Linked DNA regions of Caenorhabditis elegans. The protein of the gene in region 1 purifies or fractionates together with the protein of each later gene. This does not show direct contact. Each region holds a gene or a part of one and is shown on either strand. Other genes may lie near its edges. The genes, in order: dhs-12, E04F6.9, alh-8 and msra-1.

Region 1 (5,433 bases):
GATTTCATATTCTTTTTCCGTCAATTCACTTCTTCCGTTTTCTATGGAAGTGACGCTGATCATATTGTAAGCATTCTTAAAATAGCATCTTAATTTGGGTATCCTATTCTAGAACAAAGTACGTTTTGAAGTTGTTGAACCAGCCCGTGATGATTTCTTGGCAATAATCAATAAGTTCCTGGCCAAGAGTAAATCAGGATTCCTCGTTGGAGACTCATTGACTTGGGCTGATATTGTGATTGCTGACAATTTGACAAGTCTCCTGAAGAATGGATTCTTAGATTTCAACAAAGAAAAGAAGTTGGAAGAGTTCTATAACAAGATTCATTCAATTCCAGAAATTAAGAATTACGTGGCAACAAGAAAGGATAGTATTGTTTAAAATCGAATTATTTAAGTCTGAATTATGTATGTAGTAAAATAATATCGTTCCTATCACGTCTCCCAGAGAGCGTAATAAATTATTATTATGTGTTTATCCTGAAGCACCGAACTATCTAATTATCAAATATCTTTGAAAATATTAAAATGTTATTCTTAAAGATCCAGTTTGGGAAAAACTATGGCAGTGACAGAAAGTGGCAGGATTTGAGTAATTGGCATTTTATTTTTATTATTATACAAAACTTGTTCGCTTGAGTCTTAATAAATATTCAATCTGCAGATTAAAACAGAAAAACAGAACATATACTTGGAAAAAGTTTATTGTTTAGAAACCCAGTTCACACATCCTATGGATTGTACTCGATTGGAAGGTTCTTGCGACGAACCATACCGTCTCCTTGGAACCATTCACGACGGAATTGTTTGGCAGCGCCATCCGGGGTGTTGGTCCACTCAACAGTGATACGGTCGTTGTTGGTATCCTCTTGTCCGAAGGCAAAAGCATCGCAGGAAACAGCAAGAAGCACAGCTTCCTTTGGGTCGAAAACTCCACATGGTGGATCAACTCCAAGTCTCTTCATATTGGTGGTCTTGATACCATATCCAATACGACGAGCCGATGAGTTGATCACCTTGATGTGGTCGGTGTGCTTGTCATCGTATGGAGCATTGAAGACAATCTTGGTACCCGGTTGGGTTTGGATGTCTCCTGGTGGGACGGATTGGGCCATGGCGACTTGTTGAAGGAGTTATGAGAACTCGCACTGAAGATTATGACAAAATCTGCCCAATTTATAGCAAGCTTCTCATCACTGCCCCAGATCTTTGTTCTAGATTTGTCATGTAGAGTTCACAGAAAAATGGAAAATAGTTATTTAGAATAATGATGAATTTGATTTATTCTAGAAACTCGTTACATTTCACACCGGAATAATTAATTAGTGGTTTAACAAAACACATTTCAGCTGGATTCTTAATTCACTAAAAAGCTGTGCTTCTTGCTGTTTTCTGCGATGCTTTTGCCTTCGGACAAGAGGATACCAACAAAGACCGTATCACTCTTGAGTGGACCAACACCCCGGATGGTGCTGCCAAGCAATTCCGTCGTGAATGGTTCCAGGGGTATGGTTCGTCGTAAGAACCTCCCAATCGAGTACAACCCATAGAGTCCTTGTGAAATAAAATAGTTTTTTATGCATGCTTGTTCTTTCTTTGAAACTAAATGTAGCCTCACTTGAGTTTTACTCACTGTTTAATTCAGACTTTAATAATTCCATTTTAAACAATATTATCCTTTCTTGTTGCCACATAATTCTTAATTTCTGGAATTGAATGAATCTTGTTATAGAACTCTTCCAACTTCTTTTCTTTGTTGAAATCTAAGAATCCATTCTTCAGGAGACTTGTCAAATTGTCAGCAAGACAGTGCAAGACCGAAGCATGATTTGGAGGAGATGTAGTTCCATATTATTCAATGAGTCTAGCATTATTGATGAGCAACCACGATCTCCGACTATTTCAGAAACTGATTTAACAGAATTCTCGAACTTAGTACAACTCCTTGTTTTCGTGTCATTTCAACCATTCAATCAAACCGCTGAACACTTTTTTCTACGGTCATTGGACATTTATCCGCCAGTCACAATCTAATTGAACGGTCAAAAACCACAGAACATAGAAAAATGATGACAACCCTTGAAGTTAGAGTTGGTTGTTAGAGAAACATGAGAAAACATTTGAAAATGTGTTGTAAACAATGAGTTTTTCATTTTATTGAGTGGTAACCTCACACACCATGATCTAGTTTTCAAATATAACCGCTGTGATTTTTCAATTGCAATTGAAATATTTGATTTCGTTCCTTTTATACGTTCCTTTATTTATATCCTCACCAAAAAATTGGTATTCCCAAAAAAAACTTATTTACTGTACATATTTGAGTTTTCTCTATAAAAATTAGACTACGCGTAGTTCATTAAATCGTTAATACGTTCATTAAATCGTTAAAACATTAAAACGTTCATTAAGTCGTTAATAAATCTCAGAATAATTATTCTAGACTTGTTTCCTTGGTTGCAAAAGACGTTGCAAATGCGCTTCACTGAAGTCTCCCAGTTTTTATTTTTTCTAGAAAATTGAGCTAGCTAGCTCAATTTTTCTCAATTTCAGATTAATCTTCTTCAGAAATGAGTTTATTACTTCTTTTTTTTCCTTCACCTGTTCATACTCATTCTTTCAGAAATGGCACCAAAAACTATCTTCATTACCGGAGCAAACAGAGGAATTGGATTGGGGCTTGTAAGAGAGCTCTTGAAAGTTCCAGGCGTCGAAGCTCTTGTTGCTGGAGCAAGAAATATCGATGGAGCTAAAGTAAGTTGTAACTTTTTTTTGGATATTTAAACATATTTTCTATTCCAGGAGCTTCAATCTCTCGCAAAAGCTGATGCTCGTCTTCACTTGATCGCAGTTGACGTTTCCAACGATGGAAGTCTCGAGAATTCTGTTAAATCAGTTTCTGGAATAGTCGGAGATCGTGGTCTGAACTTGCTCATTAATAATGCTGGACTCATTGAATCATATGGAACTACATCTGCTCCAAATCGTGCTTCGGTCTTGCACTGTATCGATGTGAATGCTGTCAGCGCACTGCTAGCTTCGCAGGTAAATATTATTATTTAAATAATAATAAATTCTCATTTTGCAGCATTTCCTTCCTCTTCTCCAAAAAGCAGCTAGCCACGTCTCTGGAGATTCCCTCACACCTGACCGTGCCGCAATCGTGAACATTGGCTCTGACTGTGCATCACAAGCACTCAATCTGCGTGGATCCGGTCCGTCGAACTCACTTCTTGCCTACAAAATGAGCAAAGTTGCTATGTTAAGCTTCTCTCGCTCGATGGCTGCAGACTTCAAGCGTCTCGAAATTCCAGTTCTGATCACCAATATTCACCCAGGATGGGTGCAGACAGACATGGGAGGATCGAATGCTGAAATTTCGGTAGGAATGTCGTGACTGGTATAATTTTCACTGTGTAATGCTTTCAGGTTGACGAGTCTGTTACAAAAATTGTTGCGAGCATTGCAAAGCTGAATGGTGGTCACCAAGGAGGTCTCTTCAATCGTGAACTAGAAGAGATGCCATTATAAACGTTCTTTGTCTGTTTTTCAGTTTGGAACATAAGTGATATGTGAATAAAAAAAGTTAAAAATCATTTTATGATCGCAAGGTTATTTATTAAACGAAACCAATGCGGTTAAATGTCAGTATTTAGAATGTTTTCGAATCAAGTGAACTGAGGATTGCGAATCTGACGAATTGCAGGTGTGTCACAACTGTCAACCAGGCATCCTGAAGGGCTCAACTCTCCTCGCATTGACATGTTTTGAAGCCGCTTCTGAAGTTCTCGATGACTACTGAGTGTGCGCATCGCCTCATCAGCTTCAGTTACAGGGCCACGTAGAGGGCTCAGAAGTGGAGGAGGATGGTTCATACTGAAATGTGAATTGCATCCCGAAACATGTGCCAATGGTTCAGGAAGACATTCAAAATTCGGCGGAGAATCTGTCAGTGGAATCGAATGGGGTAGTCCAAGTAGTTCCGGCAACTCATCGGAAACTTCTTTGAGGCCAGTTGGTCGTGCATAACAGAAAACAGACGATGAAAGTTTAATCATCTGAAAACAGGAATTTGAATCTCTGAAAAGATCCGTCGAAAACTAACCGTTTCGCGCGAGTATTCTATTTTTAAGAAAAGATGTTGATCTTCTTGGTTTCGGTAGCATACCAATTCTCCACCTTCTGGAACTTGAATTCGTTCACCTTCCTGCAAACTTTCATTCTTTAAAAATATATTGTGCAACAAATTTCACCTTCTTTGCGAGAACTGGTGGCAGGCTCATCCGGCGGCAAATCGGTGGTTTCATCATTTTTCAGAAGTTGTAGATTGTGGAGAAAGAAGCAGCAGATCAATTGTTGAGTAGTGTAAAAATGAATTTATTCGAATTCGTAGACTTTCGTGTTTTATGACATTTGTTCATTTTGCAAAGACACTAACGTGAAAACAAAAGTTCACGTTTTTATCTTGAATACATTAAAATTTATTTATTATTATCAAACAGATCTGGAATTAAAGTGAAACTAGTTTCGTTACATTTCCCGTAAAACGTTATCGCATATCAAGATTTCTTCAATCACAAATATCCCCAAAAAACAGTAATCTTGGCAATTTCGTAGACCAGTTTACAAATTGGCAACACAATCGGTACTGCAAGAGGAATCAGTACGGCAGTTCTCTGATCCATTGGGAAATACAGCATTGCAAGTAAGGAGTGATCCGAATTAGCGGAATCTGCTAAACGACGTGCTTCAAGTAGACGTTCGAAATCAAGCATGCGACCAGGACGCACAACATCGTTAAGGATTTCTACAGCTCGAGTTGCACGATCAGCCACGTCATCGTTAATAACAATATTCGATATTTTCTGTGCAAGCTGATCAAGAGCTCGAACAGCACTGGCAGCTCGCATCGCATTATCAACAGAAGCACGTAGACGGGCTCGAGCAACTTCCCATTGACAGATTGCAACAGGTGGGCGATGCCATCCATGTGAAAGTTCAGCATCCATTCCCATTTGAATTCTGAAAAAAAAAAAATTTGCTTAAATACTTTTACAGTGTAGGGATTTGATTTGTTTGTTCAAAGGAACGTTCCAAATAAAAAAACAATTTTGGTACTTACCGAATAGCAGCAATCGCTCTAGATTCAGTTGCCTCATTTCTCGGAAGAACTGCTCCCCAGGAGGCAACGGCAACTCCATGGCTGTCTTCTCCGGTGTCATCAAGTACAATTACAGGCTCAACAGTTTCCAGCACAACAAATCTCAGAACGGCGCCATGTTGTAGACTTGTTTGCAATTGCGAATCAACTTTTTTGACGAGTTCCTCCATTGCAGAATGTGTTAATGCCCATCTTTCTTGTACATCTTTTATCAAAAATCCACGAGTTGGTTCAAAATCCCAAAGATGTTCAAATGATACTTCGACATTAGT
Region 2 (5,148 bases), on another chromosome or scaffold:
TTTCTTTTTTTCAAAATTTATTTCCCAATTGTCGAGCCAACAATCAAATTATGCCACAATCTCTGAGCATCAGCTGACAATTAATCATTTTGTGGTCGCTCTTGACACATCTTCCCCGCCGAAATATGTTTCTTCATTCATTGTATAACTTATAACAGGTGTCTTATTCTATTGCATTCCAACAACATTAGAAATGTAAAACCTAGTTTGATTAATGACTTGATGCTCCCCTCATCAATCAAGAAGAGAGATTACCAATAAGCTGCCACCATGCCATACACCAATTAATTCATTCTGTTCTTTTCCAGGGAGGAGCCATCTTCATGTGTATTCGGTTTTTTCAAAGCCAGCGACAACGTGGAGAATACGAATTGGAACATCGATTCGAAAGGGGTCCGTCTGGTCGCGTGCCGGTCGCTCAGGCAACCCATCAAAAAATCAACAAGAATCCCATCACGTAACGACTATGAGCCGATTGGCGAGTGTGTAGATGTTATTGAGACTGAGAGAACGGGTTTGGATGGATCGGTTCCTTCATTGGTTTCAGGTACTTTTGAAGTGATAGTTTAAATGTGGGAACAGAACAAATAAGCGTATAAACAAACAAATAATCCAAGTCTGAGAGTGAGAAGAAACGCAAAGTAACACTTATGAATAATAAGAAAGTCATTAGGAAACAATTTTCTCAGAACACAACATTCGTGTAATTCTAAAACACTGTGATATACTGTTTAACTAGGTTCGAGCGGGGAAACTGTGACCTACTGAACAAAACTTTCTAACTTCTTCCAACATTCATTTCAGGACCTTCCACATTTTTACATTTTCCTGCATCACCTGCCCCAACATATTCCTTTCGGGAAGATGATTGTCAGACCGATATTGAAATATCTGAAGATGACGATGATCCAACAATAACCCTATCCAATTGGCGTCATTCATCTCCAACTCTTTCAATTTGTACTCCAATTCTTACTACTCGTCGATCGACTTCTTATTCATCAATACCAACCATCGATCGTACGATTAGCGAAGACTCGATGCTGGTGATTAAACGTTTGTAGTTTTATTTCTTTAAGACAATTTATTTATTCAAAAACTCTTCATTCATTACGGGTAGATAAATTTTCTAGTTTTTCCATTCTATCAACATAGACCCAATGCTTCTTTCCTTTTCTTTTTACCGTACGATTTCCAAAACATTCTGCCAATTTGTCATTTGCTATATATTTCCTCCATAAATGTTTCCCTTTTTTCCTTCATCCCAATCCTTTTTTTTCTGGTAATAATAAATTCCTTTTCTGGGCAAAAAGCAACAAAATGTGAGCCAAAAAAGGCGACTGATGATAGATGGTGATGATTTGAATGTGACTGGAAGGAGGAGAAGAAGACGTCGAAAAAAGCGGCAAGCTAAGAAGAGTGATGGTGTACATGGGACGATGTGGAACAACTAATCCAGGAATGAAATGATAGTCAACCACTGACATGTTATTCACTTGAAAAAATAGTCCCTTAAAGGGAAATGATATGGTGAAGTTTAATAAAATTCCCCAGAATACTCCACTTTCAAAAAGTTTCAGGAAGTCTTATTGGATAATTCAAAATTCCTTCATGGCAAAGTTTTTATATATATTTGTAATGGATTGTGCAAACATGAATATTAACAGTTTTATTTATTTTGTTATCATTTTGTCATAGCCTAGGTCAATCTCGGTAGACGATAGGTTTTCAAAATAATCAAACAAATGCATCTGATTGTTTAACTTTTTGTACGTTTTTCATATACTCTGATGATTCAGATCAATTTGATCTTTTTAGAAGAATGTTCAAAATTTCCACACTTCGAAATCCTGTTTTCACAATTCATTTCATCCATTTTTATGAGTTGGAACGATAAGAAAAGAATCTTAACGATGAAAGTGTCAACTGTTGTTACTGACTCATTCACTTGTTGTGACGGAAACTGATCCGAAGGTCGGAAAATTTTCAAGAATAACACAAAGTTTGTAGAGTATAAAAAGAGCTGAAGAATCTGTAAGGCCTCAGCCTTTGAAACGTTATTCATTTAACTCACAGAACGTATATTTTATATCTGATGTTTAAATTTTTTATTATGCGTTGTAATATTCTGATAATAAGACCGTTTTTTTTTCTAGTCCTAAAAATTATTAGTCGCCTTCAAGTTCGCCTTCAAATTGATTGTTTTAAAACCTGTTTCAATCTTGAGCACACAATCTCGTCTTTTGTGAATTAGAAATAATAATTCATCAAAAATATAGAAGGTGTTTTTGATCAGTTAAAAAAATTCAAAAAAGAAAATTTCCGCTCTATTGATTTCTTACTTTCCATCACAACATAATTCAATTAAGATAGGGACTATAAAAGTTTGCTTGGCCACAAAATGGCATAAATCGGTTTCAGATAAGACACATTCGATTCACCTCTTTTCTTATTTACTAAACTCTTATTAGCGGTAAAGCTAACTACACATACACGTAATTTTTTTGAGGCATAATTATGTATTATCAGTAATTTTTGGAACTCTAAAGTACTCTAATTTATCAATTAAATTATCTTTCCAACTAAAAAACGACATATTAAAAATCGACTAAACATCCTGTAAACTTCACATCTATCAGTAAAAAAAGCTACGCGCCTCAAAACACGACCTTCTCAATCCCATCATTGTGAACTTTCATAGTGTTCTCACATTGATCTTAAGAACAAATAAACTTCCTGATTGTTCCATTTTCAATACTTCTCCAAATGACATTCTTTGAACAGTCTAAGGAAACGAATCCTCATTTTCTAGTTCCGTGTTCCAACTCTGTAGGATTTTTTGTATAACTCTGATAACAAGAAGGATATTTTCTCTCACTCTAGCCAACAAACAAATGATAAAAACAAAGTGATTGATTGCAAAGTGGGCTGGGCGTTTAGTTTAACCAGCGGAGGTGCTTACCCTATTTTTTTCATTCGAAGGCAGTATCTTCTGGCTGACGACACTATTTATTGTTGTTCCAAGAGAAAGGTTTCATCACTTTAAGATTTTGTGCTTTTTCTTTCAATTGTTCTTCTGAATTTCGTGTCAATTCACAAAACTTTTTTCATTCTTGAAAATTAAATAAAATTTCAGAAAATGAACCGCTTCATTCTTTCCGCTTTCCTCCTTGTTGCCATCTTTGCCATATCCGATGCTGCCGTTGCTCAACAGCAGGTTAAGGTTTGTTGTAACTCCTATTTGAAAAATAACAAAAAATCATTTTCAGGACGGAGAAAAAGTTGAAATCGATGCTTTCAAGGGAGCCAAGGCAATCAAGAGAACCGTTGCCGGTGGAGATCAAATCTTCCACCTTGACGGAGATAACAAGGGATCATTTGTTGATGCTAAGGGAAAGAAGATTGAGTCAACCAATTATGAAGCTAATAACGGAATCCTTATCATTAAGAAGTTCACCAAGGCCGATGTTGGAACCTACTCCGAGCACCCAGCTGTAAGTTTTCAGTGGGAGAAATAATTAGAAATGTTTTATTTCAGAAAAACACCGAAACCAAGCACGCTGATGGATCCATCTCCGCTGTTCCAGGACTCACTCTTGATATCTCCCTGCAATAAACAAATTTCATTCGGAATGTGTTCTAATAATTTCTCTAAATAAAATTTTTAAAACAATTTCGTGCAAACTTTGCAAAAATAAACAAAAATGTGAGTCAGAACAGAAATAGGCGTGACCTCTATTCAGTCAACAGGTGACCAATAAATCAAGTCTCATTCGTCACTATTTAATGGGTTCTAGAGATGTTTTCTTTCTTCATTCTTTTTTCTCTCAAAATCATCTGAGAAAACTTTGTTTCAGGAGCTTTTTGAATTGTTTTCAATAAAAGCTTTCCTTAAATTTTTTTTATCATTTTCAGAATGAGCCGGTTTTTGATTTCTTCGTTTATACTGATTGCCTTTGTTCTTCAGTTTGGAGAAGGATCAATTGCAGTTCAAGAAGTTAAGGTTTGTAAAGTTTTTTATCTGACAATAGTTTAAAAACTGTTGTTCATGCTTCTACAGGAAATTTTAAATGTATTTCTCAAAACTACTCGAAACTTCAAAAGTTTTCTTATTTTGAAATACCAAGTAGTATTTTACAAATTCCATTTTAGGATGGCGAAAAAGTGCAAATTGAACTTTTCAAAGGAGCCAAGGCAATCCAGAGATCCGTTGACGCTGGCGAACAGATTTTCCATTTCGAAGGAGAAAACAAAGGAGTGTTTGTGGATGCTAATGGAAAAGCTATTGACTCGTCAAATTATGAAGAGAATAACGGACATTTGGTCATCAAAAAGTTCACAAAAGCTGATGTTGGATCATATTCTGAATATCCAACGGTATTGAATTCCTGAAATTCCCGAATTGAAAAAGTATTAATTTCAGAAAATTATCAAAACGAAAACGGATCATGGATTTTCTGGAGTTGCCGCGCCAGTTCTCAAACTTTCTCTTCAATAACTTTTAAAAACTGTTTCAATAAATTCTTTTAAATAACAATAAATTGTTTGCAATATTTCGTAAAAACCTGTTTGAAGGAATTATTTAACCATTATTTGGAAAAGAAATTTGAATGTAGTAACTGTTTCACGCCCACAAAAAGTTCTGTTAAAATATCTCCAGAGCAAATTCCGCACTGATCTGTTAAATATTTTCTGTAACACTATTTCTATTTTTACTATTTTTTTCGGCTATTTAAAATTAAACCGCAAGACAAATAGGGAAATTAGTGTGATTTTTAATTCCAATAAGGCGAATCTTATAGTAAGTTTTTTTCTTATTCGAAAGTACTACTTTACTGATAAGAAAATGAAAAATCATTCAACTTGCATCGATCATTTTCCTCGTTTCACCTGAAAATATGACATGAATATAGAGATAAATATGTCAATTTAGCTACAGTTTTACCAATATTCATTGAACTTCACATCATAATTTCTCAATATAAAACAGGAAATTCAGAAACTCATCAATTTTTTCATTTTCAGAATGGTTGCTGATGGTAAGAGGAAACGGCAGTTTCATTCAAGAACAAATGCACTAGAAGTAAGCGTTCTTTTAGTATTAAATGTTTCATCAATTTCCTAAATTTAAGTTTTAAAAATTCGATG
Region 3 (6,893 bases), on another chromosome or scaffold:
GAAGCGAACGTAGAAGCGGGACAATGCCCGCGGGTCATGGAATCCCCGAAAAGGTTTGTTTTGCCGGAAAATTTCGAAAATAATTTAACAAATGTTAATTTTCAGCGAGCCTATTCCCTACCGCTTTGTCGGCGTTCACCTGGTCCGAGATCCGGATGGCATCCATGCGCCGAGGGTGTTGACTGTCACAGAAGACAGTCTCACCTACAATATCAAGATCACGGATTTGCATGTATGCTTATTATAGTGGTTGAAGTGTTGAATTTCGTATTTTTTAGATGTCGAATGGCTTCGAGAAGAACTCCGGGAAGCGGGAGGAGAACATTGGGTCAAGAGAGTCGATCTACCGCGAAGACGGGGCTCGAGGAAAGGCGAAGAGAAATCTGGCCCGTTCAATGTTCGACACGACTCGACACATGCTTTACCTGGACTTTTCAGCTCCTCCATTCTACGATATCGAGCAAATTTACTTGCATGGCATTTTCAGCGGTAATCACTTGCTTAATAAGCCTGCCTTTTAATCATAATTTTTTATTTTCAGATCGATTCGACAAGCTGCACATCGCAAAGTACACTGGCCACGCTGTGAATGGACTGTTCGATTGGGTCGAGGATCCATACACCGATGCAGTTTACTACAAGGAGCGAATTAATGGCCACGTGGAGATGTTCCAAGCAAAAATCAAAGATGTCGTGCCGATTATCACCGGAAAAATGGCTGGACGACGAATCGAAAATTCCTTGTTGAGCGGCGAACTCCAAGGTGTCTCGAACGGAGTATTCTACGAGACGAGTGTGAGAGATGTCAACGAAACGCATCAGACCCTGTCCTCAACGCTGACAACACTCGATTCGGAATGGAGTATCACTTGTAACGCGGAGACGATTTACAGTGTTGTTCCGAAGACCAACAAGCTCCTCATCATCAGGTTTTGAAGAAATCATCGATCTTCGAATTTAATATTCATAATTTCAGGGCCAACGATTATTGCATGTTGAGAGATGGAAAGAATTACAACAAGGAGAGCTGTGAAAACGAGCAGGCAGACTACCTGGCTCGCAATAATCCGTCTGAGGTGAGCTGGTTGTGTTGAAGAAATTTATAAATTAAATATATTTCCAGACCGACAGCAATGTGAACGCGATGATGTGGCTGATCGTGTTCTGCGTCGTCTTAATCCTTCTCGTGATTCTCCAGTGCGTCTACATCTTTTGGCTCCGATCGTCCTTTGTCTCGGCTGACGAGGCCTCTCATCATCAGGATCAGGAGACTGAAGCCTCCATCTTCATCGCGAAACAGCGCAGCTTCCCAGCGAGTTTCCATGAGCCAGGACTTTTGGATGTCTCCGTCGACAAGTGGAATTAAATCATTTTTATTTGAATTTATAGCATTCTCGTTCTTTTTCAATCTTTTCTAGCCTTCTATCCTTCTAGACACTAGACACTGTCATATTCTCATCTCATAATTTTTAATTTTTTACTTTTTTTTTTGTCACATTTCCTAGCACTTTCTGTTTCTTTTTTTTATATAAAATTAAATATTCCGCATTTTTATTTGTTTTAATTAATGATCTTTATCTTAACGTTGTTTATTCACCAACACTATTTTATTTTTGTATTCGAGTTTTCGAGACGCATCGATCACGTTTCTCCAAGTGCACACGGGTCAAATGGTGGGCAGTTGCAGGTCTCTCCACGTGCTGTGGCCGTCTCTTAGTCTCTTGCACTATCACTTTTCCCACTCTCTGACTCTTTTTTATTTCTTTTTCTTCTTTTTTTGCTGAGAGAGAGAGAAAAGCAACTGTTCTTCTTCTTCTGTCCTATTTGCCACTCCTCCCGTCGTCTTATCAACAGCATTGAAACTTCAAAAACTCGCAGATAGAGCTTTTAACCTTTTAATTTTCAATGTTCGCGTGTATTTTGTGGCTTATTTTATTTATTTCTTAGTTCAAAATTCGAAACGTGATCAGTAATGTTTAGTTTTCATTCATTTCGCATTATCCGAATCGTCAGAACCACCACGCGACCGCCCATCTCTTGTGATTTTCAATTTTTCTTCTCGTGCGTTTTCAGTCATTATCTTCTAATTTTCAGCTCTAAAACTTGCGGTACCCCAGAATGTTGTCTCGTCTTGCTCGTGTTCAGGTAGGAGTTTCTTTTTATAATATTTTTTAACAAAAAATCGTGTACTTCACACATCACTTGCAGTCTGTGCGACAGTTGTCGTATGGGGTGACACATTGAAAAAGAAAACGAAAATCAAACAATCAAAACTTCAAAACTTCAAATAATATTCTAATTTCAGCCAAAATGCCAACAGCTCGCCCACTTCAGCACATCGAAGTCTGCTGCCGCCGCACCAGTGAGTTTCAGGCTTGATCTTAAGTTTCCAAATCCAAATTCCATAATTTTTCAGACTGTCAAGCTGTGGATCGATGGACAAGCTGTTGAATCGAAGACCACCGACTTCGTGGAGCTCACCAATCCAGCCACCAACGAGGTCATCGCTATGGTGCCAAACGCCACCCAAGCTGAGATGCAAGCCGCTGTTGACTCGGCCAAGAATGCCTTCAACACCTGGAAGAACACGTGAGTCTTGAATCCCGTGTGATCTTTTTTTTTTATTTCAATAATAGAAGTTTCCAGATCCCCACTGACCCGTCAACAATGCATGTTCAAACTTCAAGCCTTGATCAAGAGAGACATGAAGAAGCTCGCTGAGAGCATCACCATTGAGCAAGGAAAGACCCTTCCAGATGCCGAGGGAGACGTCAGCAGAGGTCTTCAGGTCGTCGAGCACGCTTGCTCCGTTCCATCCCTGATGATGGGAGAGACCCTTCCAAATGTCTCTCGCGACATGGACACCCACTCCTACAGAATCCCACTTGGAGTCACCGCCGGAATCTGTCCATTCAACTTCCCGGCTATGATCCCATTGTGGATGTTCCCAGTCGCCTTGGCCACCGGAAACACTATGGTCATCAAGCCATCCGAGCAGGATCCAGGAGCAGCTCAGCTTCTTGTCGAACTTGCCAAGGAGGCCGGAGTTCCAGATGGATGTGTCAATATTATTCACGGACAGCACTCTGCTGTTAACTTTATCTGCGATAACCCAGATATCAAGGCTATCTCATTTGTTGGAGGAGATGCTGCTGTAAGTTTTTTTGAATTTGTTTTTTATGAACATTAATCAATTTTCATGATTTTTTCAGGGAAAACACATCTACGAGCGTGGAGCCAAGAACGGAAAGCGCGTCCAATCCAACATGGGAGCCAAGAACCACGGAGTCATCATGGCTGATGCCAACAAAGAACAGACCCTCAATCAGCTCACCGCTGCCGCCTTCGGAGCCGCCGGACAACGCTGCATGGCTCTCACCACCGCTGTGCTCGTCGGAGAAGCTCGCGCCTGGCTCCCAGAACTCGTCGAGAAGGCCAAGAACTTGAAGGTCAACGCTGGATGGAAGCCGGATACCGACATCGGACCACTGATCTCCAAGCAATCCAAGGCCCGTGTCCTCCGTCTTATCGAGAGTGCCAAGAAGGAGGGAGCTCAGGTTCCACTTGATGGATCCAATATCACTGTTCCAGGATTTGAGAATGGAAACTTCGTGGGACCAACGATTCTCGCTGGAGTCAAGCCAAATATGACTTGCTACAGAGTAAGATTTTGTTTTTTTTTAAATTTGTTTAATTTAATATTTAATTTTTTGTAGGAAGAAATCTTCGGCCCAGTCCTTGTCGTCATGGAGGCCGAGAACTTGAACGAGGCCATCGAAATCATCAACAACAACCCATACGGAAACGGAACGGCCATCTTCACCAGCAACGGAGCCACCGCCAGAAAGTTCACCAACGAAGTCGATGTCGGACAAATCGGAATCAACGTGCCAATCCCAGTTCCACTCCCAATGTTCTCGTTCACCGGCTCGCGTGGTTCATTCCTCGGAGATCTCAACTTCTACGGAAAGGCCGGAATCCAGTTCTACACTCAATGGAAGACTGTCACTCAATACTGGAACGAGTCGCTCACCGAGCTGAAGCCACAAATGTCGTTCCCACAGCTCAAGTAAATTGAAATTCTGTGAATTCTGAATTCTCTCATCCATCCCCACACACAATCACTTCTTGGTTCTTTTATTCTTGTTCAATAACGTTTATTGCCATGGTTTTTTGCAACCTCTCATTTCTTGTTTGTTCATATATAATACACATTTTATCATAAAAGTGACGATTAGACCCGTAAATGGAATGGGGGAAAATAATCACAGTTCAGAGAGAATCGTATTCGAATGATTGAAATCATAATCAAAACGTGGATAGTAACTATTCGGATCGGCAATCTGTTTATCATTCCGTTTGGAACGAGCCGCCGTGGGTTCGTCGATTTCCAAATCCGATTCCTCATCCTCCTCACTATTTGAAGTTGGATCTAGCGTGACGGCGATTATGATTATACCTGGAAAATATAAAATATTATTGGGACGTAGAAAAAATGCCCAATCAACGTGAAAACGCCCTCCACGGCAAATTGAAAACGCTCCGCCTCCTAACCGTGGGTCTCATTAGGTATTCTACCAAAATTCAGCATTTTCAATTAGCTTCAAGTGGTAACTTTCAAGTTACCAGTTTTTCCTAACGAGACCCAACTATTTGAGGCGGAGCGGTTCCAATTGGCCGTGGAGCGCATTTTCTGCGTCTTCATAATAATCTAACCTGTGATAAGAAGAGCAACACTGATAAGTGATACGATAAGCACCAATGCTACCGAAACGGACATCGACTGTGGTGCATTGTTGTTGAATGGACTGGCGACCGTCGGCGACGGGATCGCGCTGTCCAGAATTCGGCGGGCTTCCTCGTCTGAAAAAATATTTTGAGGAATATTGTTGAATTTTGTAATTTTTTCACCAAAAAATACGGTACTGCTAGGGTCTCGACGCGACCGGAAGTTTTCTGCAGGAAAATTGTGTGCGCTTTTAAAGACTACTGTAGTTGTGAAATTCTCGCTGAATTTTTCAAAATCGTATTTTTCATAAAATATTGATATATTTCAGATTTTGTAAAAATTCATTTGCGAAGATTGCGAAATAACGGGAAATGGGTTACTGTAATTTTAAAGGTGCATACTTTTTGTTGGGTAGATTTGAAAATATTTTGATCGCGTCGAGACCTTTTTTTTATGAAAAAACGTAATAACTTATAATTTTCGATGTTTTTTTAACTCTAAATAAGTTTTATAAAATTTTGCGCCTTTAAACAACTGGTTACTATAACGAAATTTCGAAAAAAGCCTACCATTTGCATCAAAAGCGATCACAATTTTGGAATTCGCATGTGAGACGGCCAAATAAATGAAGGCGACAAAAATGAAACAGGTCAGTAGAATAATACGAACCACGCAACGCATTCAATCATGAGCAGGTGCTGAATGTTATGACGATCAATCTGGAAATTGAGATGGAATTTTAGGGAAACAAAATGAATTATATCTCCTTTCCCATTGTAGGTAATAAAAAAATGTAGAAAATGTAGAAAAAATTGTGTACTACATTTTTCCAGTTGACAGTTTTTGTCTACCTAGCCTGGCAATAAAGTTATGAGCGTTTGAAGACAAGAAGAATTTGTCATACGAGAGAGGGGAAAGGCCGTCGTCGATACATAATGAATATTGGCCCAATCAATTCGGAAGTCCCTACTTCGCATACAAAACATATGGACTCGTCGAAGCAGAACGGGACTGCTCAACTCGGAGCACACATGCACACAGAGCAGGAGAGAGTCCATTAATTTTGCGGCGGGCGCCTCGCCTTTTTCTCTTTTCTCCTTTTTCCCTAAAACATTCTCGACTAATGATGAATGGGAATGACAGGAGAGAATGCAAATCCGTTCGGGAAAATGGGATTTTTGGAAGAAAATTGGGTACGGGTACTGTAGCTTCTAATCCTAGGTTATTAGGGAAAAAACGGGGCTCTGTAATTTGTTTTTCAATTTTTAGAATAAGGAAAATAAGAAAATAATTAGGATCTGTATTAGGCTTTTGACATAGGCTAGGCTTACGATTACGTTTGGGCTTGGGCTTAGTCTTAGGCTTAGGGTCAGGCTTAGGCTTAGGCTTAGGCTTAGGCTTAGACTTAGGCTTAGACTTAGACTTAGGCTTGGGCTTAGGCTTAGCAATGAAGCCGACGATAAGGTAAATTTATATAAAAGCCAATGTTATAAAACTCGGCCACTGTCTTTTTGTGGCTGTTAAAAAATCTATGTGGCCGCGAAAAAAATTAGTGGCCGAGTTTTTCTTTCTTTCACAAAACTGATATCAAGTTCCTGTTTTCTCAAGTTGCTAAATTGCCATATTTTCGCGGACACGTAGCATTTTATTAGTGGGCGTGGCCAAACGAGACTCCAAATGCCGTTTTTGTTTTGGCCTGGTAATCGCAATCCCGTCGGGCCGCGGAAGTGAAAACTCGGCCACAATATTTGCTTTTTGTAATCAGTCAAAAAACTCGGTCATCGATTTTATTTGCGGCCCCGTAAGTGGTGAGTCCAAAGCGAAAAGTCGGGAAAGTGCAAGAAGCGAAATTAATTTAATAAAAAAAAGGGACAGAGTTCATCAAATTGAAAATTCGATAGACTGACAAAAATGACTTTTTTTGAGGAATAGGAAATAAAAGTTAATTAAAAAAGTTTAGAGCTTTTGCGAAATGGCCGAGTTTTCGCATGAACACGCACTTTTCAGCAGAAAAAAGTACAGACTAATGGAAAAATATTCAAATTGTTCGCACGCATGTGTAGGAGTATTTCCGATAATTGTGTCAAAAATCATATGCAACTTTAGGTTTCAAAAATTTCCAAAAATATATGAAAACTTCCGAAGAAAAATTTAAATTTCCAAT
Region 4 (5,572 bases), on another chromosome or scaffold:
TGGGATTCTTCTTGCCAAAGATCTACTATGTAGAAACATAAAACAGCGCTTCATATCTAGTAAAATGATGATACAAGATCATATATTTTTCAGAATGCCGATATGAGATTTCCAACGAACACTCGTTCGAAGTTCATAGTCAAGGTGAAATGGGTCCAGAAATAGAACGGAAGTCGCATTTAGCGTATCAAGTCGCTCGTTTCGAAGCAGTTGCTATGGGCTTCCCGGTGCAATATAGACAAGTTGTTGTCGAATTCTACTATCATGGCCGATTGGATGGATCATCGGGTACCCTGGCGACTGCGGTTGGGTTGTTGGCTCTCTTCACAGGAGTTAAGATATCACCCCGTTTTGCCATCACGGGTTCTCTTGATGTTTTCGGTTTCGTTTATGAAGTAAGTTCTTTATTTTTATGAAAACCCCCAACTTTTTTGAACACATTTTCTTTTGTATGTTTTAAAAACTAGTACTAGAGAAGGAAAGAAGAGAGAGAAAGATCCTATTTTCAGGTTGGTGGAATTCTTGATAAAGTCCAGGCGGCTATTGACGGATTGTATGAAGCAGTCATAGTGCCGGATTCGAACTACTCGATGATTCCAGATTCGATGAAAACGAAAATTCAAGTTCACCCGGTATGGCATGTACAAGAAGCTCTCAAAATTGTCACTGAAAACAAGAAATAACCCTAACTATAAATTTTTACTCGAATAAAAATTTTGAGATTTTTCAAAATTTCAACTTTTTCTCTTCACATTGGTCAACAGAAATGTCGGTCAGATTTTTTGAGCAATTTTTCTCAATGTTTATCTAATATTGTAAAACATAGTTAGTTTGGTATTTTCCATAATTTTCAGTATCTACTAATAAATTTCTGAAGTTAAACCTGCCATTGTGTAGAGAATTTTTCTAGCTTTCGAACAAGCCTAACTAGGCATTTGTAGCGTATCTTCAAACTGGCGTATCTTGAAAAATCCACGTCTATGAAGCAAATGTTCAACTAAAAAAATGTTTAAAAATATTTTTTCTTTTTTTTGCATTTAGTTTCATTGCAAGATACCAGTTATTTGTTGAGTTACACTGATTCAAATAAATTTTCCCAATACCCATCGAAATTTTTGAGAACTGTTCTGCTCTACCATTCATAATTCAACATCCATTGAATTTTAGATAACAAAACTTATGGGGTTATTCAAGTAGTGTCGGAAAATTAAAAAGTGTAGATTAATTACGTCACAACTGTATTCAAGTATATAAAAACATGTATTTAAATACATTAGTGACGTCACAAATGTATTTAAATACATTTTGCTACATTACTTGAATAACCCCATTAATAAATAATAATTGCAAGATATTTTTCCACATTTTATCAGTTTATATCTTGCAATTATTATTCATTAACATTTTACTTCTGAAACTCAATCGACAAAATTTTTAGTGGTTTTTGGTAAAATGACTCTGTGTAACAAATAATTGGTATTTTGCACTGAAAAGTAATGCAGAAAAAATAAAAAATATTTCTAATCATTTTGTTAGTTGAACATTTGTTTCCTGGATGTTTATTTTTCAAGATACGCCAGTTTGAAGATACGCAATTTCGTGAGTTCAAGAAGTTATTTGGTAAACCGAGCCTGGGCTTGCAACTTTTGCTGGCAAGTATTATTTTAATGAGAATTTAGAATGTTGTATTGCCTAACTATTGAATTGTAGAAAATTATAGTATACTTCTACAACGGTTCAATAAAACAATAGTGATGTACTGTGGGCACACTCAGAAAAACGCTTAGTAGTCTAATTAGATTTCGACCATATTGGATTAGATTTGTTTTCTAATGAAATATGGAGGAAATCTAATCTAGCATGGATTTCTAATCTAATATGGAGCAAATATAATGCAATATGGATTTTCTAAACAAATATGGTTGAAATCTCGTTGAATACGGTTGAAATCTAATTAGACGACTAAGCGTTTGTCTGAGCAGGTGTCACAGTGGATTTGTAGTCCAAATGACTGTCTGTAAAAACAACATTATTTTTGAGCTTCAAAACTAACTTGCAAGTAGGTCAAAACGTTCAGACTGAGCCAGTCTTACTCCACCCCCACTACCATCCTCACAAGTGAACGAATTCCGTCAAATAGGTATAACTTATTCATTTGTGCATTGAACATTTGCTGCAGCAATGCAAGTTCTTGATGATATAACTGCTGAACTAGCGAATCTAGATTATCTTCGTCAACGTTCCATCCGTGAAATACAAAATACATTGCGAAAACAAGAAGACATGGAATTAGATAAAGCTGCTGAAGTCATAGTAAATTATCAAGATCCAAGAGCACACTATATTTTAATAGTTCAGAAATAACTTAGGTTTCCATTTCACTTTTTTTCTGGAAATATCCTTTATTAACCAGACACGAGGTTTTAGGGTTTTTGAGCCAACCCCGGTCTTGACACGACAGATTTTTGTACAATACGAACAGGCGTGCGCCTTTAATGAGTACTGTAGGTTCAAACTTTCGGAAATTTCATTTATTTTTCATAGTTTTTTGATTAATTGTTTTTTAGCTAATCGAATAAACAAAAAAAAACGATTGTTGTAAGACGAGGAAAAGTTCAATGTTCTCACAAGTGAAAGAGCTCCGTCAACTAGGTATAACTTATTCATTTGTACATTGAACATTTTGCAATTTCTAACGAAAAATACAGGGCCTAAAATTAGAAACTATTTTGATCAAAAGAAAGTTCATGGAAAAGCTCAGTTATTGTCCATTGAACCCAACGTGTACTCAATATCATCAAAAGAAACATCTTTACCAAAAAGCGATCTATGTCATCATTTCTGACTGGCCATCTGCTTTTTCTTCGTCTACCACTGCTGGCAGAATGATGATAAAGCATGTCGTGTCTATATGCCTGCGTCTAACATTGTATGTTTTCTTTTCTACTTGTCTTCTTCATCGATTCCCTCTGCGTCTCTTTCCTCTTTCTGATGTAATCGCAAAATTTACAGGAATCACATTTTGATTCCGCCCCGATTTGTATATAAATTGACTGTGAAACATACGTTTTTACATTGTTTACTAATTTTTTAATTCCTTTATAAACTCAAAACCTTTTTCAATCCGATATAATTTCAGGTGAAACATGGCTTATTTGGAGCGTGCCTATTTTGGTCTTCAGTGCTTCTGGGGAGAATCTGCATGGGCGAAGCTGAAAGGAGTTGTGGTGACACGAGTTGGATATGCTGGAGGAAAACAACCAAATCCTACTTATAAGAATATCAAGGATCATACTGAAATCACAGAGATCACTTTTGATCCAAAAGTTATTGAATACTCAAAGCTCACCAACTTCTTTTGGAAGCATCACAACCCAGCTGAAAGGAGAAAGAAGGTAATTTTCGAATTGACTTTAAAGTTTCAAATATTGTTCTACTGGAAAACGTAACAAAAAGTAAGTTCTAATTGATTATAATTTTTTAGGTTAAAATACATTTAAACTTCAAATTAATTCGTTTCAATTTCAGCAATACCAATCTGCGATTCTCTACGTAAATGACGACCAAAAGAAAGTCGCTGAAGAAACTTTGAAAGTAGCAAAGGACAAGCATGGAGACATTGAAACATATATTGAGCCATTGGACAAGTTCTATCAAGCTGAAGATTACCATCAAAAATATTGGTTCCGTCAAAAGAAGATTCTTTTCGATGAACTGTCTCTTCTTGATACTCAAGTTGCTGAAGGAGAACTTGCCACAAAATTGAACGCATATTGTGCTGGCTTCCAGGACTTCCACGATCTTGAGCGTCTTGCAAAAGAGTACGGATTAAAGGATTCTTTTGTCAATAAGGTGAAGGACTATGCTCTGTCAGGAGGAGATCCAAGAAACTGTCATGCTTAAATTATATGAATGTACAATCGAACTTTTATCAGGTTTTCAATGAATTTTATTTTATCACAGATTCTTGTGTTTGTTTGTTTAACAAAGGAAGATATTTGAATATTATACTGCACTTTCAGATTGGTATTTAGATTCCAACTTTGTGCGAATATTGTTGCATATCATATTAAATGGATTTGAAGAGTTGTTGTCATCATAAAGCACATTGCTCAAAATTGCGTAGGCTGTAACTTGAACATATATGAAACGTTGAATAATTCTGAAAATCTCACCATTATTACCATACAAGGCTTTGAGCCCAATTTCACTGTTAGCTAAAGTACCAATACATACAGCAGCTTTGTACCGTATCCTTCTACAGTAATCCGCATGGATTGGATGGGTAAGGGATAAAAATTCAAGAAGCACTGGAATTGCATTTTGATCAACCATTTGATGATCTAAATGACGGGCGGCAAGGCGAGAAAAGGCTGTAACAATTTGTTCCTGGACGAAGACAGTGGCACAATTTTCTCGATTATAAGCAGATATCAGACGACGAATTGAATTATTTCTGAAAATATTTACATTTACATGTTGCAAAAAACTTTTCAAAATCCCAAAATAGAGAGCGATCCTATAAATTTTCAGATTTTTTTTTAAATTCGAGACTGTTTTCAGTTTTATCTGGTAGGCTGGTTTACCGTTTTGTAGTTTCTAGGTAACTTGTAGCAATTGCTACAAAAGTTAGAACAAGGAATTCGCCTTGAAATTTTGCATTCATTTTCTACAATTACGTGCTATAGCTCAATTTAATGTTGGTTCAAATTTAATTTTGTACTGAGCTTTTGCGAAAATAGTTAAATGCTTAAAATTCAACAAACCTGTACATAATATCAACTCCATTTGGGTTCTGAAGTGTCACATTGTTCAATGCAGCGGTTGCCAAAAGCAAAGAGTCACCTGATTTACATTGATCTATTAGATCTGAAATTAATTATTTAGTCTCCAATTTTTATATTTAAATTGGTTACCCAAAAGTCTGGATATAATTGGTTCCACATGATTTAACCGAATGAATGCAGACTGAGGATTGGTAAGTTGTGTCAGAATACCAGCTGCCTCGACGGAACAGATTGATGAGGAAATGGATAAAAGTCTATCAATAACCAAATCCAAGCCTCCTTGCTGAAATTAATCAATTTGTATTGATTGAATTTGTATTGAATTTGTATTGAAAAGTATTGATTATAAAATATATCTAATTACCGTGAGCAAAGCAAGTGCTCCTTTTGAAACTCCACATAACACTGCCAATGTTCGAAGTAAAAATCTAAGAGTGTTCTCCTGTGGTTGATCATTCTTCATAATTCGAATAACTGATGAGATGCATCCTTTTTGAATTGCTTCAATACAAAGTTCATCTCCAAATAAACAAATATGAATAAGATGCTCTAAACAAATAGGTGTCAGACGATCTTTTCCATTACTTTCACATAGATTCTTGGATATTATCTGAAATTAAATATTTGAATGAATTGAATAGTTAAACTAAAAGTAACTTACCCTCACAAACACCAAAAGTACTGATTCTATAGACTTTCTGAGAAGAATCGCAAAAAAGTTTGTCATATTATTCATGTCAATTATTCCTTTATCTCGATTTCTGGAAAAACGTAAGGTAACATTT

The links.
Region 2: the proteins of dhs-12 (region 1) and E04F6.9 fractionate together in Caenorhabditis elegans (co-fractionation; one large-scale study listed by BioGRID). This does not show direct contact.
Region 3: the proteins of dhs-12 (region 1) and alh-8 fractionate together in Caenorhabditis elegans (co-fractionation; one large-scale study listed by BioGRID). This does not show direct contact.
Region 4: the proteins of dhs-12 (region 1) and msra-1 fractionate together in Caenorhabditis elegans (co-fractionation; one large-scale study listed by BioGRID). This does not show direct contact.

Annotation. Positions count from the first base shown.
Region 1 is NC_003282.8:10,142,626-10,148,058, forward strand, and holds dhs-12 (NAD(P)-binding protein), read left to right. Parts: upstream 1-2,623; 5' UTR 2,624-2,625; coding exon 2,626-2,754; intron 2,755-2,802; coding exon 2,803-3,045; intron 3,046-3,088; coding exon 3,089-3,382; intron 3,383-3,429; coding exon 3,430-3,531; 3' UTR 3,532-3,597; downstream 3,598-5,433. Other genes in the region: gst-4 (Glutathione S-transferase 4), read left to right, coding at 1-66, 113-382; msp-38 (Major sperm protein 38), read right to left, coding at 732-1,115; T14G10.8 (SH2 domain-containing protein), read right to left, coding at 3,669-4,058, 4,106-4,207, 4,254-4,307; pigs-1 (GPI transamidase component PIG-S), read right to left, coding at 4,575-5,022, 5,123-5,433.
Region 2 is NC_003280.10:7,210,148-7,215,295, reverse strand, and holds E04F6.9 (Periplasmic protein), read left to right. Parts: upstream 1-3,136; 5' UTR 3,137-3,139; coding exon 3,140-3,223; intron 3,224-3,269; coding exon 3,270-3,494; intron 3,495-3,538; coding exon 3,539-3,616; 3' UTR 3,617-3,671; downstream 3,672-5,148. Other genes in the region: E04F6.10 (uncharacterized protein), read left to right, coding at 309-461; E04F6.8 (Cuticle protein), read left to right, coding at 3,917-4,003, 4,153-4,377, 4,424-4,498; E04F6.15 (DeHydrogenases, Short chain), read left to right, coding at 5,027-5,083.
Region 3 is NC_003280.10:11,726,961-11,733,853, forward strand, and holds alh-8 (putative methylmalonate-semialdehyde/malonate-semialdehyde dehydrogenase [acylating], mitochondrial), read left to right. Parts: upstream 1-2,094; 5' UTR 2,095-2,118; coding exon 2,119-2,145; intron 2,146-2,305; coding exon 2,306-2,362; intron 2,363-2,416; coding exon 2,417-2,589; intron 2,590-2,636; coding exon of another isoform or gene 2,637-2,646; coding exon 2,647-3,154; intron 3,155-3,212; coding exon 3,213-3,662; intron 3,663-3,716; coding exon 3,717-4,073; 3' UTR 4,074-4,238; downstream 4,239-6,893. Other genes in the region: F13D12.5 (uncharacterized protein), read left to right, coding at 1-53, 106-232, 279-489, 542-929, 977-1,076, 1,124-1,366; F13D12.8 (Col_cuticle_N domain-containing protein), read right to left, coding at 4,266-4,459, 4,717-4,863, 5,299-5,410. UniProt on the Caenorhabditis elegans protein: Probable malonate and methylmalonate semialdehyde dehydrogenase involved in the catabolism of valine, thymine, and compounds catabolized by way of beta-alanine, including uracil and cytidine.
Region 4 is NC_003280.10:7,361,608-7,367,179, reverse strand, and holds msra-1 (peptide-methionine (S)-S-oxide reductase), read left to right. Parts: upstream 1-3,139; 5' UTR 3,140-3,146; coding exon 3,147-3,395; intron 3,396-3,528; coding exon 3,529-3,903; 3' UTR 3,904-3,960; downstream 3,961-5,572. Other genes in the region: insc-1 (Protein inscuteable homologue C-terminal domain-containing protein), read right to left, coding at 4,006-4,127, 4,176-4,456, 4,767-4,869, 4,917-5,070, 5,152-5,397, 5,449-5,548.